Stegostoma tigrinum: one gene and its partners. The protein of the gene in region 1 purifies or fractionates together with the protein of each later gene. This does not show direct contact. Links are inferred from orthologs where the notes say so. Each region holds a gene or a part of one and is shown on either strand. Other genes may lie near its edges.

What was found.
Region 2: the proteins of nop56 (region 1) and rrs1 purify together in Homo sapiens (co-immunoprecipitation; 3 studies listed by BioGRID and IntAct, with this or other methods). This does not show direct contact. The link is inferred for Stegostoma tigrinum from reciprocal best matches to the Homo sapiens genes NOP56 and RRS1.
Region 3: the proteins of nop56 (region 1) and ebna1bp2 purify together in Homo sapiens (affinity purification with mass spectrometry; 4 studies listed by BioGRID and IntAct, with this or other methods). This does not show direct contact. The link is inferred for Stegostoma tigrinum from reciprocal best matches to the Homo sapiens genes NOP56 and EBNA1BP2.
Region 4: the proteins of nop56 (region 1) and gnl3 purify together in Homo sapiens (affinity purification with mass spectrometry; 4 studies listed by BioGRID and IntAct, with this or other methods). This does not show direct contact. The link is inferred for Stegostoma tigrinum from reciprocal best matches to the Homo sapiens genes NOP56 and GNL3.

What each region holds. Positions count from the first base shown.
Region 1 is NC_081354.1:189,149,840-189,157,698, forward strand, and holds the start of nop56 (nucleolar protein 56), read right to left. Parts: upstream 3,016-7,859; 5' UTR 2,913-3,015; coding exon 2,910-2,912; intron 1-2,909. UniProt on the Homo sapiens protein: Involved in the early to middle stages of 60S ribosomal subunit biogenesis. Required for the biogenesis of box C/D snoRNAs such U3, U8 and U14 snoRNAs. Part of the small subunit (SSU) processome, first precursor of the small eukaryotic ribosomal subunit.
Region 2 is NC_081358.1:31,724,003-31,731,041, reverse strand, and holds rrs1 (ribosome biogenesis regulatory protein homolog), read left to right. Parts: upstream 1-4,034; 5' UTR 4,035-4,130; coding exon 4,131-5,120; 3' UTR 5,121-6,647; downstream 6,648-7,039. UniProt on the Homo sapiens protein: Involved in ribosomal large subunit assembly. May regulate the localization of the 5S RNP/5S ribonucleoprotein particle to the nucleolus.
Region 3 is NC_081361.1:65,088,575-65,096,031, forward strand, and holds the start of ebna1bp2 (probable rRNA-processing protein EBP2), read right to left. Parts: upstream 3,006-7,457; 5' UTR 2,478-3,005; coding exon 2,427-2,477; intron 1-2,426. UniProt on the Homo sapiens protein: Required for the processing of the 27S pre-rRNA.
Region 4 is NC_081364.1:19,750,107-19,757,434, reverse strand, and holds the start of gnl3 (guanine nucleotide-binding protein-like 3), read left to right. Parts: upstream 1-4,316; 5' UTR 4,317-4,372; coding exon 4,373-4,385; intron 4,386-4,498; coding exon 4,499-4,557; intron 4,558-7,328. Other genes in the region: pbrm1 (protein polybromo-1), read right to left, coding at 1,382-1,421. UniProt on the Homo sapiens protein: May be required to maintain the proliferative capacity of stem cells. Stabilizes MDM2 by preventing its ubiquitination, and hence proteasomal degradation.

The DNA of each region.
Region 1 (7,859 bases):
ATCTTTCATCACTCTCTCCAAAGCCTTCTTTTCTTGCCTCAAGTGTGGCACCCAGAAGTGAATATTCCAGTTGAGACAGCTGTAGGGTCTACAGACATTTAACACAGACCTTCTCCGGCCAGGTGCTGTGCGCTTTATTTATTTATACATATCCGATCATGAAGACCGGCTAGGCCAGTACTTATTGTCCACCCTTAAACACAGAGCGTGTAAACTACATGGCGATGGCTCTGGAGTTACATGTAGGCCCGACTAGTTAATGTTGGCAGCTGTAAATCCCTAAAGAAAATTGGTGAACAAGTTGGTTTGTAAGAGAAATGAGAGTGGCTAGATGATTACCGTCAGGGCCGTTTTCAAGCCTGAACACTCGACATGGTATTAACCCTGCAGCCCAATGGTATCAATGTGGGCTTCACAAGCTTCATAATCTCCTCTCCCACTACCGCATCCCAAAGCCAGCCCAGCTTGTCCCTGCCTCCCTAACTTGTCCTTCCTCCCACCTAAAGCCCCACTCCCATCTCCTACCTACTAACCTCATCCCGCCCCTTGACCAGTCCATCCACCCTGAGCTGACCTATCTCCTCCTGAACTCCCCACCTACACTCACTCTTACTGGCTCCATCCCTGCCTCTTTGACTGGTGTCCCCCCCAACCCACCTATCTTTTCCTCTATCCGTCTCCCCCTTTCATCCCATTTATTTCAGAACCCCCTTCCCCTCCCCCAGTTCTGAAGAGAGCCTGGCCCCAAAACCTCAGCTTTCCTGCTCCTCTGATGCTGCTTGGCCTGCTGTGTTCATCCAGCTCCACAATTTGCTCAAGTTACTGACTTCAGCCTTTCAGGTAACTAGGAGACTAAATCATGACTTTTTACAACAGCATAATAAAACAAAAGCTGTGGATGCATATCGAGTGCAGTTCCTTCAACCTTGTCCCAAACTTCCAGGAAGAGTACAGCACAGAACCGTATGAACACTTCAAACGTGCAAACAGGGCAAAATTAAAATGTGCCCAGCTCCCCAACTGCCTTTCTGACTATTCTGGAACTGGTGGGCTATTCCTCTCCAGCAAGCACTGACGATACTTCAGAATCCGAGATGGACACGGCAGATAATGCAGCCTCGATGCCTTTGCCGTCTGAAGAGGAGAGCAAATCTCTTTTGGGCGCAGGTGGTGAGCTACTGTGCATTATATGCTGCCTGGATCAGAGGTAGCGTTGGAGGAACCTGATCTGGTGCTAAATGCCCCAGCAGGAATTAGTAAAAAAAAAACTGGCCTCTGTCCTCAGACGGGAGCATTTGTAGTTTGCTTTAAGGAAAGCAACCAGGCCAACTACTCTCTTCATTACTGGATCATTTCAGCCACAGCAACAACCTAGTGAATTCTTTTTGCACCATCTCTAGTACAATGACACCCTTCCTATAATGTTGCAACCAGAAACACACAGCACCCTAGCGGTGACCTAACTAACATTTACAGCTCCATTATAACCACGTTGTGCTTCTACTCTATGCCTTGGCTAATAAAGGCAAGTATGCGGGCTAGACACAGTAACAGTCATCACCATCGAAGACATACACAGAGATATAATCTGAACCATATTGTAAGGCACAGGAGCAGAATTAGGCCACTGAATGAGATCCAAGCCAATCTAAATACTGAACTGAAAACAAAAAATAACACTGGCGATCATAGCATGTCAGGCAACATCCATGAAACATCACGGCAAGCTAACGCTTCAAGCGTAGGTGACTCTTGGTCAGATGGCGCCTTTAGCATTTATTGTTTTCAGTACGGATTGCAGCATCTGCAGTAATTTGCTCCCGATAATCCTGAACCTTATTTTCCTCCATTTTCACCATAACTGCATTCCCCCCCAGTCACTTCGTTATAAATCTCAGCTCTGACTACCTTAACAGCTCAGATTCTACAGGAGGGAACTGCAGATTCACGACAAATGAAATCCAAAGTTTGTCTTCAGTTGCTGAGAAATTACAGCTTTCGGTTGCAGATTCCTCTACAATCAAGTCGCTTAGGAATCACCGGACTGTGGAGGGGGCTGTTTGGAGTGTCACTGGAGCCAGCATAGTGTAGCATGGCGGCTCAGTGATTACCCTCACAGTGCCAGGGACCCGGGCTTCCCTGGACTGACCTATCCCCTCCCTACCTCCCCACCTATACTCTCTCCACCTATCTTCTTTACTCTCCATCTTCGGTCCGCCTCCCCCTCTCTCCCTATTTATTCCAGTTCCCTCCCCCCATCCCCCTCTCTGATGAAGGGTCTAGGCCCGAAACGTCAGCTTTTGTGCTCCTGAGATGCTGCTGGGCCTGCTGTATTCATCCAGCCTCACATTTTATTACCCGGGCTTAGTGCCAGCTTTGGGTTCCTCCTACAGTCCAATGATGCTCGGGTGATGTGGACTGGCCACGCTAAATTACCCACGGTAGGCAGTCTGGATGGGTTAACTGGCCATTACATTCGGGTTACAGGGGTGTGGGATGCTGCTTGGGGCCACGAGACCTATTAGGATTCTCCAGAGACATTTTTTGTTTGAGATTTCCAGCATCCGCAGTCTTCTGTTTAACTTCCTTAAGAATCCTGTACATTTAACTAAAGTCACTCCTAATTCTTCCAAACTCTAATGAGTAAAGGCTCAACCTCTCCTCACAACGGGATCTCTCCAAACCTGGTATGAGGCGGCTCAAACTTCCCTGGACTGTCTCCAGCGGGCCCTTCCTTCGCAAAGGGCCTCCAAGTTCCCTCCGCACACATGGGGCGGATCAGGCGCGGCCTGACCCGGACCCTAGGCCTACTCGCCGTCGCCATGTGGCCCCGGGTGGGGCTTGACCGTCGCCTCAGGCCTCCCCACCCACACAAAGCTGCTGCCTCTCCGCCGCGCAAACCAACTCACCATCCTGCCGCACCGCCGCTGACTGAGGCCCGCGATCACGTGACGCCGCCTCTTATCCGGCCCGCCGTGCCAGTAATCCGCGTTCCCATTGGCCGCCGTGCGGCCGTTCTCGAAGGCCTTTGGCCAGGTCGCCGCCTGCTAGGGTCTCCCATTGGGTGTCCGCAACAGCCAATCCTGGAGTCTCTAACTGCCGTGCATCCAATCCAGACTTCCAGTTGGCCGCCTCGCTGCCACCCCGGGCTTCTATTGGCCGCCTACCAGCCAATCCGGAGGGGCGTTCATGCCGAGCAGCCAATGAGCTCAGAGGGCATGTTCTCTCCTGGTTCTCCCGCCCAATTGGTTGCCAGGTAAAGATCAGCGTCTATTAATTGTCCTCCAATCACTAACTAACATAAACCTTAACCATTAACTAGCATTCACTGTTAACCAGCACGTGGACGTGAATTAAAACAAACATGAAGAAGCTCAGCAGGTTTGGCAGCATGTGTAGAGAGAGAAAGCAGGGATTCAACAAGAGATGACGAGGTGTGGGGCTGGATGGACACAGCAGGACAAGTGGCATCTCAGGAGCACAAAAGCTGACGTTTCGGGCCTAGACCCTTCATCACTAGGCCCTCACCCCATCCCCCTCTCTCCCTATTTATTCCAGTTCCCTCCCCCCATCCCCCTCTCTCTGATGAAGGGTCTAGGCCCGAAACGTCAGCTTTTGTGCTCCTGAGATGCTGCTGGGCCTGCTGTGTTCATCCAGCCTCACACTTTGTTATCTCGGATTCTCCAGCATCTGCAGTTCCCATTATCTCTGATAAGTGGCATCTTGGGAGCACAAAAGCTGACATTTCGGGCCTAGACCCTTCCCCATCCCCCTTTCCTGATGAAGGGTCTCAGCCCGAAACGTCAGCTTTCCTGCTCCCAAGATGCCACTTGTCCTGCTGTGTCCATCCAACCCCACACCTCGTTGTATCAGAGATTCAACATGACCCTCCTTCAAAAGTCCATGGAAAGGTTTATATCTATTCTGGAGGGGAAGGTGTAGAAGATAGCCAGAGTCCAGATAGAGGGAAAACAGCATGGGACAGATAAACCCGAAAGAACTGCGGATGCTGTTAATCAGGAACAAAAACAGAAGTTGCTGGAGAAGCTCAGCAGGTCTGACAGCATCTGTGAAGGGAAAATCAGAGTTAACGTTTCAGGTCCGATGACCCTTCCTCAGAACTGGGTGTGAGGACCTGAAATGTTAACTCTTGTTTTCTTGCTTCACAGATGCTGCCAGACCTGCTGAGCTTTTCCGGCAACTTTGTGACAGCAATGGGCAATGATGAGCCCGTGAGATGGGGCCCAATGGTGGGTGAAAATAGGCTCATAGAATCCCTGCAGTGTGGAAGCAGGCCATTTGGCCCATTGAGTCCACACTGACTCCATGAAGATCACCTCACCCAAATGCATCCCCGATTCTTTTCCTGGAGTCTTGGATTTTCCATGGCTAATCCACTAGCCTGCAAGCCCTGGACTCTACATGCAATTTAGCATGGACAATCATTTAACCTGCACATTTTGGACTGTGCGAAGAAACCAGAGCATCGAAAGGAAAGAAAAGGGGAGAATGTGCAAACTATACACATGTGCAGTCGTCTTCTGATTGTAGAATTGAACCCAAGTTGCTGGCACTGTGAAGCAGAAGTGCTAACCACTTTGCCTCCCAGGACTGTCTGAGGTGAACGTAGCCGATATGATGACAAGGCCTGCTGTGTGAGCGTGAGGGAACAACATGGGAGAGGTTGCTCAGGTGCTGAAATTATTCAATTCAATATTATGCCCTGAAGGCAGCAGGGTCCCTAAGAGGATAATGGTGGCGAATGATCCTTTGGAAGTGGATGCTAGTTGAGTGGAAAGTGAGGACCAAGATGACACAATTGACATTGTGGAGGGAAGAGAAGAGAAGAGAAGAGATGAGAGCCGAAATGTGAAATATGGGTCAGACACAGCTGAGGACCCTGTCAACTATGATGGTGGGGAATTCTCAGCTGAGGAAAAAGGTGTACATTTCTGAGGCCCTGTTATAGAAAGTGGTATCATTAGAATAGAGGCAATGAAGATAGAGAAACTGGGAGAATGAGTTGGAGTCTTTACAGGATATGGGGTGTGAGGATGTAAAGTCTAGGCACCTGTGGGAATCGATGGGATTGTAATAGATATAAGTGGCCAGCTGATTGCCAGAGATGGAATCAGACAAGTTGAGGAAGAGAACGAAGGAGTCAGAGATTGTCAGATTGGACAAGGAACATTCCATGTACCCCACAAAGGGAAAGGCATAAGTGGAACCCATGCAGGTCCCATAGCCTTTGATCTGAAGAAAGTGAGAGAAGTTAAAGGAGAAGTTGTTCAGAATGAAGAAGAGCTTGGTCAGGTAGAGGAGGGCGGTGGTGAATGGGGACAGCTCAGGCCTTTTTTCCAGCAGGGACCATCCTGATGGAGAATGGAAATGTAAGGGGATTACACGTCCATAGTGAAGCTGAGGTGACCGGAGCCTGTAAACTGGAAATTCTGAAACTGATGTAAAGTGTCAGAAGAATTGTGGATGTAAGGGAAAGGGACTGGACAAGGGGAAAAAAAAAACGAGTCCTGGTAGGAAGAGATGACTTCTGTGGGACAAGAGCAAGCAGAGACAATGGGCAGACGTGTTTATTGATTTTGGGAAGGAGATAGAAGCCAGGTGTGAGGGATCGCACACCCTCTGGGTGATCTGGGAGGCTGTCAGCTGAAGATCCTTTCACTTAAGAGCTAATCTAATTTATTTTTATGTTTAGCATCTGCATGTGAATGAAAATCTTGTTTTTACCTCTCACCAGCAGCACAGCACACCCTCAGTATTGTGTTGAATTTGTCAACCTGAATTCAGAACCCTGTTTTGAGATACTCCTTCATTACCGCAATGATATCCCATTCAGTAACAGACCAGTCAGTGCCAGTCCTTTAGCCTATAGTTTTGGGCTGAAAATACTGTCACCAGATATAACCCAAGTTTTCACACTGTTGAATGTGGTTCACAGACCATTTCAAAACAGTAGGGATAAACTGATTCTCCTCTTGCTCGTTGCCAGCAGGACACATTAAAGATCCCTGAGACTGCTTTCCATAATTAGGACACTGTGCTCCCATGTCATACAAATTAAAAGCAGCTCTACCACAGCAAAGTATTAATTTTGATGAACAATCCCTGGGAGTGCAGGTTGCTGAATGAATAATAAAGTCCTCTTTGCTGACTTTGATTTGGTTTGATTTATTGTTGTCATATGTAACTAAGTACAGTGAAAGTACATTGTTTTGTGAACAATAAAGGCAGATCATAGCCAACAAAGACGCACAGATCATAGGGTGCTTAGACAGAGCGAGACACGCAAGGTCACAGCTGCACAGGAGGTACACGAAGCCAGATCAACAATAGATTTGAAATTATAGAGGTCCATTCAGCAGGCTAATAACAGTGGGGAAGAAGCTGTTCTTTAATCTGTTGGTGCGTATGTACAAATGGAGGACAGCAAATCGACAGGAGTTAAAGAATAATTTTCACAGATCCTGAAATCACAGTGAGGGGCTAAGGTGCTCCCGACATATGGGCCAGTATGCTCTGTTTGTTGATTTATGATCTGATAATTTCTCTGAATGAACATTAATAGATGGGTATGTGAAATGGGTAGGACAACCCAGGGGGAACGAATTCTCCACTCAGGATGTCTCAGGAGGGCTCATTTTGATGACAAATGGATGATTGAAAGGTTTAGAAACTGGGTAGAGGACAGCAAAACTAGCTTATGGTGCACAAATTTAAAGTTGTGTAAACAATGTAGCAGGATTGGAAGGATGAATGGTGTCCCGAATAGTCAGTGGAATGTTATTGTTATGTACAGCTTCCTACTGAGTTAAAGGGTGGTGTTAGGCAGTCTGCCTGTATAAAATAAGTACAGAAACAAGAATGATCAATGGTTTCAAGTTGGATGGGCACTTGGAAAAAATTGATGTAGAGTACTTTGGGGATAAAGTGAGCAAATGAAATTGTCGCAATTGCTGAGTCCTGACATGCATTCAGTGGGCGTAATGACTTCTCTATGTGCACTTTGAATATAACTAGCATCAGCTATCAGGATAATGCAGAGGGGAAGAGACAACATAGACAGGCCCTTTCTGGCTAGTCTATCCACAAAGAATTCCTCTGAATGTGATAGCAGATACAATTTGCCAACAATTCCGTGTCTTGCCTCATCTCTGTCTCAAATCATCGCAATATCTACTTAACAACAAAGCAAAAAGTAAAGCTGTGAAATAATTCAGCAGGGGGTGGGCATCAAAATTGTAGTTCGACTATAGAAAAGGTTGAGAGTAGGGTGGTCCGAAATAAAGTTTCAGGGAAGCAAGATGGCACTGGCAAGCAAGACGTTGGTGTGAAGTGTGTCTACTTCAATGCCACAAGCGTCCAGAATAAGGTGGGAGAACTTGCAGCATGGGTTGGTACCTGGGACTTCGACATTGTGGCCATTTCAGAGACATGGATAGAGCAGGGACAGGAATGGTTGCTGTAGGTTCCAGGATTTAGATGTTTCAGTAAGAACAGAGAAGATGGTAAAAGGGGCGGAGGTGTGGCATTGTTGGTCAAGGACAGTATTACAGTTGCAGAAAGGATGTTTGAGGACTCGTCAACTGAGGTAGTATGGGCTGAGGTTAGAAACAGGAAAGGAGAGGTCACCCTGTTGGGAGTTTTCTATAGGCCTCCGAATAGTTCTAGAGATGTAGAGGAAAGGATAGCAAAAATGATTCTCGATAGGAGTGAGAGAGACAGGGTAGTTGCCATGGGGGACTTCAACTTTCCAAATATTGACTGGGAACACTATAGTTCGAGTACTATAGATGTGTCAGTTTTTGTCCAGTGTGTGCAGGAGGGCTTCCTGACACAGTATG
Region 2 (7,039 bases), on another chromosome or scaffold:
ACATTTTGCATTATTTATTACCACAATAACATAACAAACAGAGATTATCACTTGGAGTGCATTAATTGAATCTGTGATGCATCAATTATAAGATTTTTAAAAAGCCTCTTCTTCATAGTGGCATTGATTTAGTAAGTTTTTCAGAGAGGTCAACATTGAAGATATCACTACAATAATATTGGTATAATTTTTTTAAAAATAGGAGGACTTTGGAAAAGCCCATTAATGGGAGGGATGTTTCTGATAACTTGTGACTTTCTTCAAAATTTTTCTTAATTCTTATGTTTTTCTAAATATATTTTCAGTAATCCCTTCCCTGTAGCAAAGTTGGCCATGCAGCTAGTTTGCAATAGAGTGACACCATCAGCATGGATTCAGTTCCTACATTGGCTGAGGTTACCATGAAGAACTCGCATTCTCAGTTTCTCCTCTCCCATGGGGTGTGGTGTCCCTCAGGTTAAACTGCTACCAATCACCTCTCTCTTTCTTAGATAACAAGGTGTGGAGCTGGATGAACACAGCAGGCCAAGCAGCATCTTAGGAGCACAAAAGCTGATGTTTCGGGCCTAGACCCTTCATCAGAAAAGGGGGATGGGAAGAGGATTCTGAAATAAATAGGGAGAGAGGGGGAGGCGGACCTCCCTGTTTATTTCAGAATTCTCTCCCCATCCCCCTTTTCTGATGAAGGGTCTAGGCACAAAACGTCAGCTTCTGTGCTCCTAAGATGCTGCTTGGCCTGCTGTGTTCATCCAGCTCCACACCTTGTTATCTCAGATTCTCCAGCATCTGCAGTTCCCATTATCTCTGATACAGTTTGGAATTAGATACCTGTTCCTTCAGTATTGTTGAATTAAACCTCCTTCCCAACTGAGGGAGTACATACAATAAATAAACTGCAGCAGTTCAATAATGAGGTTCATTACCAACGTGTCAGGGACAAGTCGGGATGGACAACAAAGCTGCACTTTCATCCCTTGACAGTAAAATAAACAACTCAATTTCCCTTAGCAAATAAAATAACACCGAGAAAAACAAAACTTTAACTGTGAGTGAGTGTGTGAATCCTGAGATTGGGAATGAGCTAAACAGATAGGCATGTTCAGAAGCCCCCTACTACATGCCTCCTATTATTGTCTGTACATGTGGCTAGTTTCAACCTAAAATGATAAAATATTTATTGCTTACAGCTAATTAATTTTTATGGATGTTTTCTGTAAATTTCAAAGGTCCAGGTTCAAAACAGTGGAGGCTTTCTTTCCATAATAATTAACAATCTTGTTGTATATTACAATCTGGCAAAGTAGTGTTTGCAAAGTGTGTCATACTGAACTGTGAGCTATCTGGGATTTACGAATAGATGGTGGTTTGTCAGGGTTCATGATCACAGTTACTCACTGTAGGCTGTGGATGATTTCGAGCAATTTTCTAATTGTTTATTGAAGTAACAGCAGTTTACAGATAGTACAATATGGGTGTGTGTGCCTTGGGGAGGAGGCGTTTAAGAATGTTTTGGTGGGGGGGTAGGTGGAGGGTAGGAGATGAATGTGGGAAGGGGAAGGGGTTGTGCGGGGTGGGAGGGTGGATGGAGGTGGGGAATGGGTTGTAAACCAAGGGAAGTACGCGGAGGTGGTTGGTGTGGGGTGCTTTGGGGTGTGTCAGGGTAGGTGCTGGGGTATATGAGGGTAAGTTGGAAGGGTGGACAGGGGGTGTGTGGGGGGGGAGGGGGATTGTGAGGCAGATGGGGTGTGTCAGGGTGGGTTCAGTGGGGTGGTGTGGAGGTGGGGTCTATGAGGGGGATCCGTGTGGGGGGAGGGCGGTTGTGTGCAGGGGTGTGGGTGGATTCTATGTGGGAGGATGGGGTGTATGTGGGGGAGGTGGAGTGCATGAGGGTGGGGGGGGGTTGGGGATGTGTGAGGACATAGATTGTGTCAAAGGAAGAGATAGGTGTGTGCGGAGTGGATGTTGTGCATGTATGAGGCAATGGGTGTGGGGTTGTGTGCGGGGAGGGTTGGTGTGGGACTGTGTGCGGGGGAGGGGATGTAGAGGTGTATGTGTGGGGGGTGGATGTGGGGCTATATGGAGGGCAGAGGTTGTAGGGCGGTATGGGGAGCGGGGGGTGTTGGTTGAGTTGTGGGGCTGTGTGGAGACGTGTGAGGGGGTGAGAAGATGTGTTCGGGGAGGGGTTGTGGGTGGGGGATGGGTGTGAGGCTGTGTGTGTGTGTGTGTGTGTGTGTGTATGTGTGTGGATGTGGGTATGCGGGGATTTGTGTAGGTAAGGGTGTGTATGGGGGGTGTATGGGGGTTGTGTGAGGGAGTATGGGGAGAGTGTGTTCGTTGATAGGGGGATGTGGGGGTTGTCTGATGGGGTATGTGTATGTGGGGGGACGGGGTGCGGGCAGGGTGTGTGTGTGGGTGGGGAGATGTGGGAGGTATGTCTGTGGAGGGGTCTGTGTATGTGGGGGGAGGGGTGTGGGGAAGTTGTGTGAGGGGATGTGGGGAGGGTGTGTGAGGGGGTGTGGGGAAGGTGTGTCTGGGAGGTATGGGTGTGTATGTGGGGGGAGGGTGTGTGAGGGGGTGTGGGGAAGGTGTGTGGGTGAGGGTGTGTGTATGTGCGGGGAGAGTGTGTGAGGGGGTGTGGGGAGGTGTGGGTAAGTGTGGGAGTGTATGTGGGGTGAGGGTGGGTGAGGGGGTGTGTGGGTGTGTATGTGAGGGGGGAGTGTGTTGGGGGGGTGTGGGTGTGTATGTGGGGTGAGGGTGGGTGAGGGGGTGTGTGGGTGAGGGTGTGTATGTGGGGGGGAGGGTGGGTGAGGAGGTGTGTTGGGGGAGGGTGTGTGGGGGGTGTGTGTGAGGGGGTGTGGGCAAGGGGGGTGTATGTGAGGGGGTGTGGGTGAGGGGGGTGTGGGTGAGGGGGTGTGGGTGAGGGGGAGGGTGTGTGGGGGGGTGTGGGTGTGGGGGAGGGTGTGTGAGGGGGGTGTGGGTGTGGGGGAGGGTGTGGGTGTGGGGGAGGGTGTGTGAGGGGGGTGTGGGGGTGGTGGGGAGGGTGTGTGAGGGGGTATGTGGGTGAGGGTGTGTGTGTCAGAGGGGGGGTGTGGGTGGGGGGGAGGGTGTGTGAGGGGGGTGTGGATGGGTAGAGGGTGTTTGAGGGGGGTGTGGGTAGGGGGGAGGGTGTGGGAGGGGGGGTGTCGGAGGGGGGGTGTGGATGGGGGGGAGGGTGTGGGAGGGGGGGTGTGGGTAGGGGTGAGGGTGTGGGAGGGGGTTGTCGGTGGGGGGGAGGGTGTGTGAGGGGGGTGTGGGTGGGGGGAGGATGTGTGAGGGGGGTGTGGGTAGGGGGGAGGGTGTGGGAGGGGGGTGTGGGTAGGAGGGAGGGTGTGGGGGGTGTCAGGGGGGGGTGTGGGTGGGGGGGAGGGTGTGTGAGGGAGGTGTGGGTGGGTGGAGGGTGTGTGAGGGGGGTGTGGGTAGGGGGGAGGGTGTGGGAGGGGGTGTCGGAGGGGGGGTTTGGGTGGGAAGGAGGGTGTGTGAGGGGGGTGTGGGTAGGGGGGAGGGTGTGGGAGCGGGGTGTCGGAGGGGGGGTGTGGGTGGGGGGGAGGGTGTGTGAGGGGGGTGTGGGGAGGATGTGTGGGGAGGATGTGTGAGGGGGGTGTGGGTAGGGGGGAGGGTGTGGGAGGGGTGTGTGGGTAGGAGGGAGGGTGTGGGGGGGTGTCGGAGGGGGGGTGTGGGTGGGGGGAGGGCGTGTGAGGGGGGTGTGGGTAGGGGGGAGGGTGTGGGAGGGGGGGTGTGGGTGGGGGGGGTGTGTGTGGGGGGGGTGTGAGTAGAGGGGGAGGGTGTGGAGGGGGGTGTCGGAGGGGGGGGTGTGGGTGGGAGGGAGGGTGTGTGTGGGGGGGGGGGTGTGTGAGGGGGGTGTGGGTAGGGGGGAAGGTGTGGGAGGGGGGGGTGTGGGTGGGGGGGGGGGTGTGTGTGGGGGGGGGTGCGTGGGGGGTGTGAAGAGGATAGGGGTGGGGCGTCTATGTGACGTATTTGTGGGCGGGGTTGATGGTTCCCGCCTGCTGCTGCTCCGGCTGTTGGAGATCACGTGGCGAGCGGTCGCAGATAGTGACGCCAATGAGCAGAGGCGGAAGTGACGGAAGGCGAAGATGGCGGTGGCGGTGGAAGAGCTGGTGGCCGAGGCCGAGCGCTTGATCCGGGTGGACCGGCCTCTGGAGTTGGAGCTGGACCTGGGCAACCTGACGGCGCTGGATGCCAACCCGCTCAATTCGAGCTTGTGCCGGCAGGAGGCCGAGGCTTGGCTGCGCTCCCTTGCCCGGGACAACACGCAGCTGCTGCTTAACGCCGTCTGGCAGCTGCCGAGCGAGAAGCTCCAGGAGGGGATCGTGGCCTTGCTGCCCCCGCCCAGTACCCTCATCCCCCGGGAAAAAGCGGTGCCCAAACCCCGGCCGCCTACCCGCTGGGAGCAGTTCGCCAAACTGAAGGGCATCCGGAAGAAAAAGAAGAGCAACTTGGTGTGGGACGAGAGCAGGAAAGAGTGGCGCCGCCGCTGGGGCTATCAGAGAGCCAACGATGAGACCAAAGAGTGGGTCCTGGAAGTACCCGAGTCCGCTGACCCCAGTGAGGATCAGTTCGCCAAACGTGTCGCGGCTAAGAAAGAGCGAGTGGCCAAGAACGAGCTGAACAGGCTGCGGAACATCGCCAGGGCTCAGAAGCACAAGGTGCCCGGTGTCGGTCTGGCCCCCACCCAGCAACAGAGCAAAGCCGAGCTCAGCAAAGCCATTCGCGTGGCGAGAACCTCCACCGCTTCGGTTGGCAAGTTTCAGGACAAGCTCCCCAAGGAACAGGAGGCGAGGAACACCGGCAAGAGGAGGAAGTTCCAGCCCATCGTCGGAGACTTCTCGGCGGAGAAGCAGAAGCAGCTAGACCTTCTCAATGTTATGTCCAGCAAGAAACCCAAACTGGATCTCACGAAGGCTGTCAATAGACAACTTCGAGAAGACGATCAGGAGCAGGCGGCAAAACGAAAGAAAATGCGGCCTAAGGGCAGGAAAGGAGGGAAAAATCACAATCGAAATAATAGGGGAAAAGGTCAGCATCGGAAATCGGGGATGAAGCAGCAAGGAAAGAGAAAATGAGCCATATTGAACTGTTGTTAAATACGGTGCTCCTTGATTTTAAAGAACATTCTAGTTTTGAGAGGGCCTACCTTTGTTTCTTTATTAATTGTGGCCTGATAATTTCTTGCGTTCTGACAGTTTTTTTGTTTTTCATGAACTTAAAATAAAGTGTTTTGTATTTCTTTTGCTATGTGCATCTGAGTGACTATATGTGATGGGACTTGTGCAGAGAGAGCTTAAATTGTACCTGTGGCCAATTGTTTGTATGGCAGAAAGTTCATTACCAGAATTGTCTAGCCAGCAATCCTGTTGACCACTTTGAAAGGGGATTCATTGAAATTATTTTATGTTGTAAGACACTGCATTATGATTAGCAACACAACTAAATGTTGTTAATCTTTTGGAACAGTAGAGTATGTAAGGAAAGCACCAAACCTTTCAATGTGAGTTGGCAGCTCAGTTCCAGTGTGGAGTGGCCTTTTGTCCTCAGGTTAATTATGTCTATGGTTATTTGAAAATACTTGTAGATGACAACTTTAACTCTCCTCAAAGTAAAGGAGCAAATTACTACAGATGTTGGAATCTGTAACTGGAAACAATAAAATGTTGGAGATCATGGTGGGTCAGGCAGCATCCATGGAGACAGAGCAAGTTAGCATTTCAAATCCAGAGCCTCAAAATAGTCTCTCTCTCTGGAAATCCAGTCCATGAGTTTATAGGTTATGATTTCTATCTCCAACAAATAGAAAGGAAGAACTTGTATTTCTATAGTGCCTGCATATATCATCGGATCAAAACCAGTATATTATTTTTTTAAAAACTGTGAATGCTGTAAATTAGAAACCAAAGCAAAAATTGGTGGAAAAGCTCAGTTGGTCTGTCAACACCTATGGCGAGAAATTGGTGTTAACATTTGGGTCCTTTGATACTTCCTCAGAACTCCAGGACCAAAAGGTTAACACTGATTTCACAAGTTCTGCTAGACCTACTGAGCTTTTCCAGCATTTTCTGTTTTTGACAGTATTTAAGAAATTGTCTTCACCAGTACTGACTGTAGACTGTCGTGTACTCTAAAGGTATTCCTGTTACTAAACTTGACTATAGCGTATCAACTGTTTTTGTAAAGTTGTTTTATTTATCGCTGTAGTACCTCATTTGGAGTTTGGGATTTTTGTTTTACACAAATTGCTTGTGTAGCTGAGTATGCAAATAATATATTCACTGTAAAACCCCTTATAATGCCAAAGGATAATGAGGCAAGTCTTGAAATTTTCAGTTCACTTTTCAGTTCACTTTTCAATTCAGTTACTCCTGAATTGTATCCTTTGGTTGTCAAACATATTTATAAAGCATGAATTGCAGTCTGGGGTTAAAATATTTTGAAGCGCAGCAAGTTTTTCTTTTCTATAAATTATACCATGTGGAAAATTAAGAACTATAGGTAATGTAAACTGACAAAATGCCGGAATACTGTTTCAAAATTAACAGCACACCAGAAGAAAGGTAGCGATGTCCACGTAATTAAAACAGTTCTGTTTAATTTCACACCTGACTCCCTGGTTTACATCTTTTCAATTTTCTGACATTTTGCTTGTTAACCATTTACACAAACTTTTTTCCTCAATGGGATTATAAGCAGGTGAAAGAGCAGACCATTTGAGCCGGCATGGAAAATGAGTATAATCTTCAGAGCTCAATGACAGGGAAGTTTGGTGAATGGGAAAGGAAATGTTTGTTATGGGCCCTTTCCATGCAGTAACGATGGGGTCTCGCTGCACTACAGGGAGAAACGTTGGTTAGTTTCTGGTAAACAGTTGAGATCCACTGTTTTCTTAAAATTTAACATAGCATACAAATTGTCGGTAAGTTAAAATATGTAACGCATCAAATTAATAAAGTGGTTAATTAAATAATTAAAACCCATTAGGAATGATAGG
Region 3 (7,457 bases), on another chromosome or scaffold:
GCAAAGAAAGTTACCTCAGAATACAACAGGATCTTGATCGAATGGGCTATTCAGCCAAGTAGTGGCAGGCAGAATTTAATTTAGGTAAATGTGAGGTGCTGCATTTGAGAGGCAAATGAAGACAGGACTTATATACTGAATGTAAAGGTCCTGGGGAGTGTTGCTGAACAAAGAGACTTTGGGTGCTGGTTGATAGTTCCTTCAAAGTGGAGTCGTAGTTAGACAGGGTAGTAAAGAAGGCGTTTGGTATGCTGGCCTTTATTGGTCAGAGCATTGAGTTTAGGAATTGGGAGGTAATGTTGTGGCATTGTAGGTTAGCCACTTTTGGAATACCACATTCAATTCTGGTCTCCATGCTAGAGGAAGGATGTTGTGAAACCTGAAAGGATTCAGAAAAGATTTACAAGACCTGCAGCCCAATGGTATTAATGTGGATTCCACCAGCTTCAAAATCTCCCTTCCTCTCACTGCATCCCAAAACCAGCCCAGTTCATCCCCACTACACTAACCTGTTCTTCCTATCACCTATCCCCTCCTTCCACCTCAAGCTGCAACTCCATTTCCTACGTACTAACCTCATCCCGCTCCCTTGACCTGTCCAGGACAAGGTCTTTTCCCTGAGGTGGGAAGAATCCAAACCTAGATCGCATAGGTTTTAGGTGAGAGGGGAAAGATCGAAAAGAGGTCGAAGGGGCAATATTTTCATGCAGAGGATGGTGCCCGTATGGAAATGAACTACCAGAGGAACAGAAGGGGCCAGTAGACTTACAACATTTAAAAGGCATCTGGATTGGTATCTGAATAGGAAGTGTTTGGTGGGATATGGGACAAATGCGAACAAATGAGGCTAAGATAACAAAGTGTGGAGCTGGATGAACACAGCAGGTCAAGCAGCATCTTGGGAATACAAAAGCTGACGTTTCGGGCCTAGACCCTTCATCAGAAAAGGAGGATGGGGAGAGGGTTCTGAAATAAATAGGGAGACAGGGGGAGGCGGACCAAAGATGGATAGAGGAGAAGATAGGTGGAGAGGAGAGTATAGGTGGGGTGGGGATAGGTCAGTCCGGGGAGGATGGACAAGTCAAGGGAGCGGGATGAGGTTAGTAGGTAGCAAATGGAGATGCAGCTTGAGGTGGGAGGAGGGGATAGGTGAGGGGAAGAACAGGTTAGGGAGGTGGGGACGAGCTGGGCTGGTTTTTGGGGCGGGGGGGGTGGATTTTGAAGCTTGTGAAATCCACATTGATACCATTGGGCTGCAGGGTTCCCGTGCAGAATAAGAGTTGCTGTTTCTGCAACCCTCGGGTGGCATCATTATGGCACTGCAGGAGGCCCAGGATGGACATGTCATCTAAATGAGGCTAGATTTGTGAAGGATATCTGGTCAGCATGGACAAGTTGGATTGAAAGGTCTGTTTCCATGCTGTATATTTCCATGACTCTAAGTGGTAAGTAACATTCGTGCCACACAAATGCCAGGCTATGAACATCCCCAATAAGAGACAATCTAATCACTGCCCTTTGACATTCAATTGTGCTACAATTGCTGAATCCCCCAGTATCAACATCCTGGGGTTATCACTGATTAGAAATTGAGTTGGCCTCACCACATACAAAGTGGTGACAATACCAAGCCAGAGATTAGGAGTACCGCAGTTAGTTACTTATTTCCTGACTCCCTAAAGCCTACCCACCATCTACAAGGTGCAGTCAGGAGTGTGATGGAATGTTTCCACTTATCTGGATGGGTGTAGCTCTAACAACACTCAGGAAACTTGATGCCATCCAGGACAAAGCAGCCAGCTTAACTGGCATCAAATCCACAGGCATCCATTCCCTCCAGCACAGACACACAATAGCAACAGTGTATACTGTCTACAGATGCACTGAAGGAATTGAAAGATCCTTAGACAGCGCCTTCCAAACCCTCCTCTACTTCCATCTGGAAGGACAAGGGCAGCTGATACATTGGAACACCGCCCGCTGCAAGTTTGCCTCCATCCGCCATCCTGACTTAGAAACATATCACCCTCACTTCACTGTCACTCGTCAAAATCCAGGAATTAGGCGCCTCAGGGTATTGCGGTTAACCCACAGCACATAGACGGCAGCCCATCACATCCTTCTCGAAGGCAACTACAGACAGGCAATAAATGTCGGTCCAGCCAACGGTCCCAAACTTCCCACGTGATAATTACAAATAAAACCTCAATTCTTTGGGTAAAATGAACCTCTGCCAGTCACCTCCATTCCACAGTTTGTGGTTATCGCCATCAGAAAGTCGGGCACAGATCAGACAGAACAGGCCTTTAAATTATATCGAGCGATTCAACCCCCACCTCCCCATTCTCCCAACCCCGGACCCTCTTCCTGAGCACGGCTGCTGCTGTCATGGGAGCGATGCCTCTAGTTCAGGGTAACACACTAACCTCCAGGTCGGAATCCTCAGCGTCTGAGGCGGATTGTGGATCCCAAGCCATGCTGCCGCCGCCGCCGCCTCGCTGGTCGGACCTGAGCTGAAGATGTTCCCCGCCGCACTCACTCCCAGTGCACACGGTATACCCGTCCGGCCGGAATGTGGAAACCGCGCACAGAGTTCCGGGAATAAAGACCACCTTCCTCACAAAACCGCCGGGATACCAGTTAGTTTATTTATCCGGACGATCCGAAGTGTACCGCAGGAGTTTTCGAAAGCAGTGTGTAGATTCAAAGTGATAATGGGAACTGCAGATGCTGGAGAATCCAAGATGGTAAAATGTGAGGCTGGATGAACACAGCAGGCCCAGCAGTATCTCAGGAGCACAAAAGCTGACGTTTCGGGCCTAGATCCTTCATCAGAGAGGAGGATGGGGAGAGGGAGCTGGAATAAATAGGGAGAGAGGGGGAGGGGGACCGAAGATGGAGAGAAAAGAAGATAGGTGGAGAGGAGAGTATAGGTGGGGAGGTAGGGAGGGGATAGGTCAGTCCAAGGAAGATGGGGACAGGTCAAGGAGGTGGGATGAGGTTAGTAGGTAGGAGATGGAGGTGTGGCTTGAGGTGGGAGGAAGGGATGGGTGAGAGGAAGAACAGGTTAGGGAGGCAGAGACAGGCTGGGCTGGTTTTGGGATGCAGTGGGGAAGCCAAGCGGAGGCTTGGGGACCGCTTTGCAGAACACCTCCGCCCGGTTCGCAATAAACAACGGCATCTCCCAGTCACGAACCATTTCAACTCCCCCTCCCATTTTTTTCAATGACATGTCCATCATGGGCCTCCTGCAGTGCCACAATGATGCCACCCGAAGGTTGCAGGAACAGCAACTCATATTCCGCTTGGGAACCCTGCAGCCCAATGGTATCAATGTGGACTTCACAAGCTTCAAAATCTCCCCTTACCCCACCACATCCCAAAACCAGCCCAGTTCGTCCCCTCCTCCCACTGCAGCACACAACCAGCCCAGCCTGTCTCTGCCTCCCTAACCTGTTCTTCCTCTCACCCATCCCTTCCTCCCACCCCAAGCCGCACCTCCATTTCCTACCTACCGCCTCATCCCACCTCCATGACCTGTCCATCTTCCCTGGACTGACCTATCCCCTCCCTACCTCCCCACCTATACTCTCCTCTCCACCTATCTTCTTTTCTCTCCATCTTCGGTCCGCCTCCCCCTCTTTCCCTATTTGTTCCAGAACCCTCACCCCATCCCCCTCTCTGATGAAGGGTCGAGGCCCAAAATGTCAGCTTTTGTGCTCCTGAGATGCCGCTTGGCCTGCTGTGTTCATCCAGCTTCACACTTTATTATGTAGTACTGTTGTTAGATATTAGAAGGTCAGTTGGCTGGATTCTGGTTTGCAGCATGGAGTTCAATTCCCACACCAGCTCATGGTTGTCTTTGGATTCTCCTCCTCAAACTCTGTCTTCGTCAAAGGTAACAAGGTGTAGAGTCTGGATGAACACAGTAGGACAAGCAGCTTCAGTGGAACAGGAAGGCTACGTTTTGGGCCCACTTCACCCAAACATCAGCCTTCCTGCTCCTCTGATGCTGCTTGGCCTGCTGTGTTCATCCAGCTCTACACCTTCTTATCTCAGATTCTCCAGCATCTGCAGTTCCTACTATCTCTTCGTCTAAGGTGTCGTGATCCTCAGGTTAAGCCACCAACAGTCATTTCTCTCTACTAGAGAGAGCAGCCTAACATAAAAGTGACTTTATGGGTACATGCTGGGAACATGAAATGAAGATAACTCAAGTCAGACAATTTCCTCATCTGGGAATAAGTTACAGGTGTGACTGAATGGGGGAAGAAAAATATTTACAGCAGCGCAGTGGACTGGAAGTGTTTTTCAGATTGGGCCTCAGCATATGGCATGCCACTAGCACCATGCTGACCTAAAAAAGACTTCCATGATAAAACAGTGGAAACAGCATACAACACTGAACGATCCCACATTCAGTGTATCAGACCTAAACTCTGGGGTCCTGCCACATCAAATGGTGGTAGACAATAAACAATTAACAAGGGTTGGAAGCTCTTACCTCCCCCACCCCACCCCCCCACCATCTTCAATGATAGGGGAGTTGAGAACCTCAGTGCAAAAGATAAGGCAAAAACATTTGCATCCATCTTCAGCCACAAATGTTGGGGCCAATCCATTTCAGCTCTTTACTAATATCCCAGATCGCAGATACTAGTCTTCATCCAGAGATTCACTTCATGTGGTGCCATGTGAAATTGCTGAAGGCACTGGATATTGCAAAGGCTATGGTCCCTTACAGCATACCAGAAATGGTACTGAAAACTAGTGCTCCAGAATTAAAAATTGGTCCATGCTGAGCTATTCAAATATAGCTACAACACTGGTATTTCCCCAAAAAAGTAGAAAATTACTCTGTTATGTCCTGCGCACAAAAGGCAGGGTAGATTCAACCTGGCCAGTTACAGTCCCATAAATCTATTCTTGATCATTTGCAAAGGGGTGGAATGGGTTCTTGTCAATGATATTAAGTGCCACATGTTCAGCGATAAAAATGCTCATTGAATTGACCTTTGCCGGGGTCATTCAGTTTCTGATCTCATTGGATTCCCCCTTGGCGCCAGCATGCACATAATGGCTGAACTTGAGGGCAAGTGAGGGTGACTGCTCTTCAAATCAAGGCAGCATTATATCAAGCATCAATAAGTGCTAGTAAACACAGTAAATGGGAATGATTGGGAAAACGTAGATGAAGGGAAAGCTCTTGGCTGAGTGGTGTCATACCTAGCTTAAAGGAAGTGTTCGTGGTAGTCAAGGTCAATTATCTCAGTTACAAGACATTACTTCAGGAGTTCCTCAGGGTTGTGTTCTTTGCCCAAGCATTGTTAGCTGTTCAACGTGGCCTTCTGTTAGTGGCAAGTAACATTTACACCACACAAGTACGAGCCAATGACTATCCCCAACAGGAAGGAATCCATTTATCCTTGTTATTCAATGGCATTATTATCACTGAATTCCCTTTTATCAACAGCCAAGGAGTTACATTAACCAGAATATGAACTGGTCCAGCCATTTAAACACTGAGGTTACAAATTTGGGTCAGAGGTTGGGAATCCGAAAGGGAGTGACTCACCTGCTGTCTATGCAAAGCGTGTTCACCAACCTACCAGCCAAAAGCATGATTGAATACTGCCCACTTATCTGGATGAGTGCAGTTTCACAACAGTCAATAAGCTCAATATCATCCACGACAAAGTTGTCCACTTGATTGGCACTCCATCCACTATCTTCAGCATTCACTCTGTCCACCACAAAAGCACATCTTCAAGACATGAGGCCAATATCACATAGAAGCTCAAGGCATTAAAGTGCAGCAGAACACCACTTTCTGCAAATATTTTCATCCTGACTTGGAATTATATCACTGTTCCTTAACTGTTGTTGATCAAAATTGTGGAACTTCCTGTCCAACAGTGCTGTGAATGTATCTAGCCCTCATGAGCTGCAGAAGTTTAAGAAGGCAACTAAGCACCACCTTCTCAAGTGCAATTAATAAGGTGAAATAAATGCTGCCTTAGTTAGCAATGCCCAAATCCTGTGAATCAATTAAATAAACTCATATCCCATCTGCCTGCTCAGGTGGGTGTAAAAGATCCCATGAAATTATTTCAAAGAAGAGATGGTGAGTAATGCCTGGTGTCCAGATCAATATTGATTCTGTACTTTGTGTTCAAATAAAGATTACCTTGTATTATAAGATTGTTAATCACAATCATAAATGCTAGCAGAATATGGATGTTTGTCTGTGGTACTGAAAGAACTAAACTAGAAGCAGAAGACAAATAAAGCATTTGTTGTTGCACTTTGGTAAATATTTAGACAAATAAGTAAGTGATATTTATTTAAACATAAGAGAAAGATTTAGTCTCCAAGAGTTGTATTTGCTGCTGAGCATCTGGATTGTTAGATGGTGGAGCAGGAGCAGAAGGCAAAACATAGTTGCATTTCTGACCATTGAAGAAAAGTGGAAGATAATGTGGCAATTGTGGTGTGTGGTTACTCACTGACAAACAACTGGAACAGCACACAAGTCTCAGAGTTGGCTAATACTTTTCTATGTTGCTCACAGTGGTGTCTGGGAGATTGATCTTTCATCCCTGGCGATTGCCAATTGGGAACATTGACAACTCTAACTATAAATCTATGTAAAGTTGATCACTGTGCATGAACAAGAGTTTTTTGGCAAGTCTGAAAATTGCTTTTTAGAATTTTGATTTTATATCTCCTATTTCTACCCCTACTATTTAGATTAATATTTGAAGATAAACTTTTTCTCTTTCCTGAATATTATCTTCCAGCCCTCCTTTTCATGAAAAAAACATTCAAGTTCCTGCTGAGCTTCCTCATCGTTGAAGTTACTGACCCTGAGGGTCAGCTTCATGTCTCTGCTATGCACAGTGCTTGAATATTTCTCCTGGTGTTTGGTGATTGCTGTTGTGTGGACCCCTTGGAATCTTACCTTCACTTTTATCTATTTCAACAATTTTCCTGGCATTGACTCACCAACAAATTTTATCCTCTTTATTGCATTAAATTTCTGTGAATGTCCTGTCCACTTACGTACCTTGTCCGTTCATTCATAGAAATGAAACTGGACATCTCAAGAGTATTCAATATATGGGAAGAAACACATTGCAAATTTCAGATTGCCACCATCACAAGTGGAATTTGGATTGCTGATGGTCACCGTCAAGTCTGGGAGATGAATAATAAGAACATGGGTGAGGTTGGGGATAGGTGCCGCGTATCTGTGAAACATTTGCAGTCAGCACAAGGAAAGGAAATTGATGACAAAACAAGCGTGAAGGGTGGGAAATGTGAGATGATATGTTGAAACTGGAGGCAAATTCAAATTGCAGAGAAATGACCTAATAATCTATATGGAGGAAGAAAAAGAAGAAATGGAAAACAATAATGAACCAGCGATCGTAAGGATGGCAGATCCACTAGGAATT
Region 4 (7,328 bases), on another chromosome or scaffold:
GAGCACCATCAACCTCTGCTACATTATGCAGGGGAAAGTTTGATAGAAGCCAGAAGAGGTGTTAAAACACCCAACAGAGAAGTCTTTATTTCTATAATAAGCAAAAGTAAAGTTGCCAAAATTGTAGAGGACGACAGGGCTGCTCGCTCATTTGAGAGCAACAACTGGTGGTGGTTTAACCTAAGGAACACAACTTCTCAGTTTCAGAGGGACAGTCCTTAATGGTAACCTCAGCCAGTGCGGGATTTGAACCCCTGCTGTTGCCATCACTCTGCAAACTATCCATCCTAATGAGCTAACCAACCTCCATTTCTGCTACAGTGCATGATGGAGTCCAATATTATACGCAATGAAATGACACGTGTAAAATAAAGGGCTTCATTTGTATTCCTCAAAAAATATGCATGGGTTTTCACTAAGTAATTCCATTGGTTCTTTCTTTTATCAGATTTGATAAGACCATTGTGGAAGTGCCATCATCAGAGTTTCAAAGAAGCATCTTCACAAGTGCCATTAGCATGGCCAACATCTTGAGGATAAACTGTGAAAAATAGTTTTGGTAACACAATACATAAAATAGAATTATTACAATTACATTGAATATTTTTATAAGTATCAAGTTTAGCTGCAAAAGTAATAATTTTAATGTAAAAGTCTCACATAAATATCAAACAGCAGACTGTAAATATATGTAAATTTAGAGGAAAGAAAATGGTGACTTCAAGAATTAAAGGGTTCCTTCAGCAATGGGACAGGCAAAGTAAGCTGTCGTTTTTTAAATTTTAGACTAGACTATCCCACATTGATGAAAACAAGGAAGTATGGGATGTTAGCCATGTAGATTTGACGCTTACATTATAGGTTTCAAGCAACAGACTGCAATTGTGATTTTTCTTTGAGTTATTCATGAAAGGATAGCCATCGCTTCATAAATCTATGACCAGTCACCAACAAACATAATTTATTTATTTCCAAGAATCAAAGGGAAAGCACTCGAAATAATCAGTTGGTCAGTTGGCATTAATGTAGAGACAAACAGGGTTAATGTTTCAGGTCAATGAAATTTCATTCTGATGAAAAGGTCATCAAGCTAAAACATAAATTTGCTTTCTCTCTCACAGATGCTGTTGAATCTGAAGCTGTCTTCTTTTAGAATTGTTTTGTTTCTATCATAAATTTCAAACATCTGCGTTATTTTACTTTTTCCCTCCTTTTCATCAGAGGAAAACCCTGGAACCATTCTCCATATTTTCTCAAGGCACAAACAATAATTGATTTAAAGTTAACAGTATCAAATAGCAGTATTAAGCAATTTAAGGTTATGCCATAGACAAACATACAACTTGTAAAAATACAATCTAACAGAACATAAAGTGCTCACTTGGAAACACCACATTAGGACAAAAGGTCATCCGATTCATATGCAAAGTCCGTCTAGTCCAACTTCAGTTTTCTAAAGTCATAGAGCAAACTTCCAACCTCTGAGGCCTGGACCAAGTTGAAAGCATGTGGGGAAAATATACACACAAAAATGATACCCAAATCTTGCGCACTCATAAACAATACTTACTCCTACAATTGTCAGGCAGTTTCCCACCACCACCCTTGCCCAATCTTTTTCCATATTTGCTTTTCTTTTATATTCTTCAGTTATTACTTGCACAACAAACAGGGTACTGGGGTGGGGAACAGAAACAGCACATGGGAAAGTAACACAGCTGTAGCAAGGCAGATACCTTTACAGTATAGTCTCATTCATGAAATTGTTCCAATTCATGTGACTTTGTCTGATTCTAAGTATTAAATTGGCTAAACAAATACACTGCTTAACCATAGGAGTTTTTTTTCAGGGACAGTAAAAGGAAAATTAGACAACAATATCCTAAATCATATCTTATATTGGTTGGCCACACTCAAAGAAAGTTTACATGCTATTACGCAAAGATTTGTTCTGCTGAATGTCCTAGTTTTGTCCAAAAAAAGCCTTTCTCTTGTCTTTCTAAAATTTTTCTATGATAAGCTAGGGATGTCTATGCACTCCCAACATCTGAAACAAAAATAGAAATTGCTGGAGAAATGCAGCAGATCTGACAGCATCTGTGGAGTGAAAGCAGAGTCAATATTTTTGGTTCAGTGACTCTTCATCAGAATGCAACACTCCTGATATCACCTCTATCCTACCTCCTCCCAGTCATAAACTGCAGACAAAAAAATACTGCACTAGCACACTTCTTTCCACTTATGTACTGGTTTTGCAGCTGTCAAATCAATGTTCTATGCCTGTAACAAACCCTTCATGCAGGTGTTTTTCTTTACTTTCTGTTGGCTGGCAGGGGTAGCCAAATGTTTTGATTTATATTAGGCAGCCTCATATTTAAAGTTTTTACCAGCAGATACTGTACTAAAGTTAACATATAGCATGAGAATCAGGTGTAATGAGTTGGAATCGGTCAACTTGATGGGCTGAAGGGCCTTTTGTGGACTGAATGATTCTAATCATTGAGACAACATGGTTAACAGTACTTTCCAAACTATTAAGTCAGTGAAATTCAAAGAGGACAAATTAACATTTTTTAGAACAGAGAACAAAATAATTGTGCCGGCATTTTTAACAGGGTATCACCAGAGCTTACAGACGTAATTATCTCGTAATTTAAATAGTCAAATAATGGTGCACATCTTGAAGAAACGGATAATCTTTCCATAGATTCAAATGCAGGGCGCCTCAGTGCATAAAAATCTCTGGAGTTTTTTTGCAAAGAAGTTTCTTAGGAAGATAGTAATTTATAGATGGAAGCAGCATCGTGTTTATTGCCTGAATTCAAAATTAATTTTGATAATATCGAAGTGGATAACATACTGATATGTCAAAATAAATGTCAATCATTCACATTTGTTGAAGAAGTTATTTCAGTACTGACAATTTGATGGACTCACCGTAAAGATAGCAGACTAACTGCGTCAATGACAGGATGAACAGTCTATCTCACAAACTAATGAGATAAGAATTAAAAATAAAAAGAAAAGCAATGTTTGGAGAAATAGAATGGGTCAGAAGTGTGTAAAAAAAGGAAGAGAGAAATGTAAGCTTAAGTGGAAGAGAGTCAAAAAGGAAAAGTTAAACAACACAATTTATAATCTGTAGAGGAGATCCATCTGTCTTAATTATTTCCTTTTAAAGTTAGAGATGAGGTGACTTTGTGGAAACATGAATCTTGTAATTAAAACAGTTCTTACACCATTTAGTACTAGTCCTGCTTTTCTATAACAAGTCAAAATTCATTTTAACAGAGCAAATAGAATAATTTCTTAAAAGTCACAGGTCAGCTGGCTGCCAGCTCCTGCTTTCGCAAAGCAAATTTTGTAATAACATGCAACACATCAGGTTATCTCAAAGTTGCCATGAATAGCTGCGCTACTTACAAATTCATAACTTACAGTGAATTCACTGTTACTTTCTCAGCAAATTCTGGCCTAACGTTTTTGCCCAGTGGATCTTAGTAAACTGTGACTATGTGGAAAATTTGGTTTAATTGGACAACTTTTTTAAAAACTGAAGTGCCATCTTAGAAATGTAAATATGCTTAAAATGTTGTTATGACAACAACCATAAAAATGTGGCATGTTCCCCTAATCAGGAAGTGTTCTATTCCTAGGATTACCGGCAGATTTTATTCCCCGATTGTACGCAGCTCCATTTCAATTTAAAATAAACCCACTGACAACAATACTAGTTCATTGTCTTGACATCTTAAATGTACGTTCAATCACTGAATATCCAGCAACGATGTCTGGATGATGTAGGCAGGGTACATTTCATTCATACCTTTGGAACAGGGCGAAAAATAGGCTTAAACGTAAAAGTTAAAATATCTGCTTCCTTTCAATATGGGCAGAAACAAAAACAGCTCATTTAGGCGCTGAATGAAAGGTGGAATGAACTGAGAGGTGGACACAAGCCATCGCGCGGTTGAAATCTTGACTCCCGGGAGCTGACTGACAACAAAAGAAGCAGCGGCCTGAGCCTCACAAACACCTTGGCAGCCACGCAAAAACAAACTGGAAAAAGACTGCAGGCACAACTTCCACACATCACTCATCTCAGTACAACTCAGCAACCGAAGCCGTCCTTACCCTACTCGGCTGATCCCGAAAGAATATATGATAAAATAATAATAATAACAACAAGAGATCCACAGTCTCCTCCTATACCCAACTATGCCCCTATCGTCAGCATCAGCGGCTCAGCCGTAAAGCGGGTCGGGGATAGAGTATTGACGACATTGACGTGCTCTCTCACTGTGTGTTTACGGCAGGCGATGGGACGTTTGGGACTTTGTCACGTGGATTGCTCTTTTTGCAGCCGGACGGTATGAAGCGGCCGAGTGAGTTGTGTGGCGTGGAATTGTAGTCTTTACTGTTCGTTACATTCTTTTTTTTATCCGCAGGAGTTAGTATTGTTTCGATTCATTGCCCTCATTGTTGCGTTTCCTTACAGAGCTGAAAAAGGCGAGCAAGCGCCTGACATGCCACAAGCGATTTAAGATCCAGCGAAAGGTGAGCCGGGGTGGAATCCACGAGTTGTGGACGCCCCAATATTGGGTACATTGTTCGCTCTGGGAAAGCTTGTGAGATATAATAACCGGATCGTAATGTATTGAAACTGGCTAAAGAAAGAGCAAGTACTTTTATAGCCAACCTGAACTGCGCCAAGCCCCTTCACAATCACCTAAGTTAGTACTTGTACGAGCACGTGGCTTTAAGGCAAACTGCGTAACACATAGTCAAGTACAATTTGGTATAAACTCTTAGTATGCAGTTCGAGCACCTTGCAATTTTTGTACATCACGCTATTTAGAAAAAGTTTACTGCAGCCTATTCACATTTTTAAATGATTGGGCAGGAGTATTGGATGATTAGATTATTAACAAAGAGCAGATGAAATGCATTTTGTAATGATTGAGAAGTTCAGGATACGGATTTAAGATGGAGTTTTGGAAATCTTTTCATTATGTTAAGCTGACGGAAGAGAGATAAACAAGAATAGAGTGGACATATGTGAGCATGACTTATGGTCCTTGTCAACTAAATGTCAACAGACATGTTTCTGTTGTAATTTTAGTGTTTATTCTATATACTTTTTGTAATTCACTGCTTGAATTAGTGTGCAGTTATACCTCATTGATATTTCAAGAAATTTGCAATTTACAATCTATAGAGCCTTTTTGAAGAAAACCACCCAGATTTGACCATTTTTAATAACGTGACAAAGAAACATAGTACTGGGTCATTTGGCCCTTCGAGGCTATTTCTCCGTTTGGAACAATGGCTGATAATTTTGGGGTCTCAGTCTCACAATTTGACTGACTCCATAAACCTTGGATGTGTGTCAATCTTTTTAATTTAGCCTTTGATAAATTTTATATTTATTAGATTGGATTAACTGCAGTGTGGAAACAGGCCCTTTGGCCCAACAAGTCCACACCACCCCTTGAAGTATCCCACCCAAACCCATCCCCATTCCCCTCTAACCCACGTACCCCTGAACACTATGGGCAATTTAGCATGGACAATCCAACTAGTCTGCACATCTTTGGACCATGGGAGGAAACCGGAGGAAACCCACGCAGGCATGGGGAGAATGTGCAGAATCCACACACAGTCACCCAAGGCTGGAATTGAACCCGGGTCCCTGGCGCTGAGAGTCTGCAGTGCTAACCACTGAGTCACTGTGCTGCCCTAATTTAGTGGCACAATTTCCAGTGGAAGAGATTCCACAGACCAACCGCCCTCAAAAAAAAACTTTCTCACTTAAATGGGAGATCTTTTAAACTTGTACTTTGTTTCTCGTGCTAATCTTCCCCACAAGTTGATAAAACCTCTCAGTAACCACCCTATCAAGACCCCCCAGTATTTTAAAAACAAGAATTGGATTTTAGAAATCTGAAACACACACAAAATGCTGGAGAAACTCAGCAGGTTTGACAGCATTTGTAGGGACAGAAACAATGTCTCAAGTTCATTGACATTTGTTGTGACAAAGGGTCAGTGGACCTGAAATGTTGACTCTTCTTTGCTCTCTGTAGACACTATCAGACCTGCTGAGTTTCTCCATGTTGTTTGCCCCAGTATCTTGTATATTTCAATAAGATCATCCCTCATTCTTCTCAACTCAGTGAGTACAAGCTCGGTTTTACTTCTAAACTACTTCTAATACAGTTCTTTTTCAACTGAGGAGAACAAGACTGTATCATTTTCCTGGTGTGGTCTCACCAATGTCATGCACAGCCGCATCTAAACATACTCTGCTTTCATGCCTTTCCCCTTGCAATGAGTACCACCATCCCATTTACCTTTCTAATAACGTGCATGCTTAATTTGTAATTTATAAATCAAAACATCCATCCTCTGTATTACCAAGTTCTGTCGTCTACCTCCATTTAAATAGTGTATGGTTTTTCTATCTTTCCAGTCTAAATGAACAAGTGCTCCTGGGATGCTGCTTGGCCTGCTGTGTTCATCCAGCCTCACATTTTATTATCTTAAGTTCACATTTTCCCCCATTATACTCCATTTGCCAAATTTTACCCATTCGTTATCTTGGAATATTATATGTGATTATCAAAACTGCTTTGAGTGACAGCCAATATCATGGTGCAATAATCCTATAAATTATTTACATTCCTTGATCACTTAAAATCTGTACATATTGTTCAACCTCTGTATTAATATGTGGAACACTGCAGGTGTTACCATTTCTGGACACATTTTTTCAACTTTCAATGAGGTGCCAGCCAGCAAGAAAAATAGTGCTGTTGTAGCGTACAATGCAAAGAAAGAAAGAAACTCGGCAATTATTTTGTTGGGAACTTATTCGAATATATTATTAAACACAGAATGACTGGACACTATAAAAAAAGTGCTGATTAGACAGAACAAATGCAGACTTGTAAAGGATAGGTCTTGCCTAATTAATGTAATTAATCTTTTTGAGCCAGTAACTACTGTTAGGAGGAAAGTGTCTCTATCTAGAAGTTATGAGCTTGATTGGAAAGGAAATGGCTAATAGAGCCCAACAAATATCAGTGCTTGGGCCTTCAACTACCATTGTCTTAATGATTTGATAAAAATAGATGGCAACATTTGTTTGCAAATGATTGCTGTTGTTCTAATTAGGTTAGAAAATAGCACAAGATTACAGAATTGAAAGATTGTAAGTGGACAAAGAACACTTGCTGACACCACCAAAATGGTCTAGATGTGCAAGTGTAAAAATGAGCATGCATAATATGTTTGCCGGTACTGTCAGTGACATCATTCCATCATGT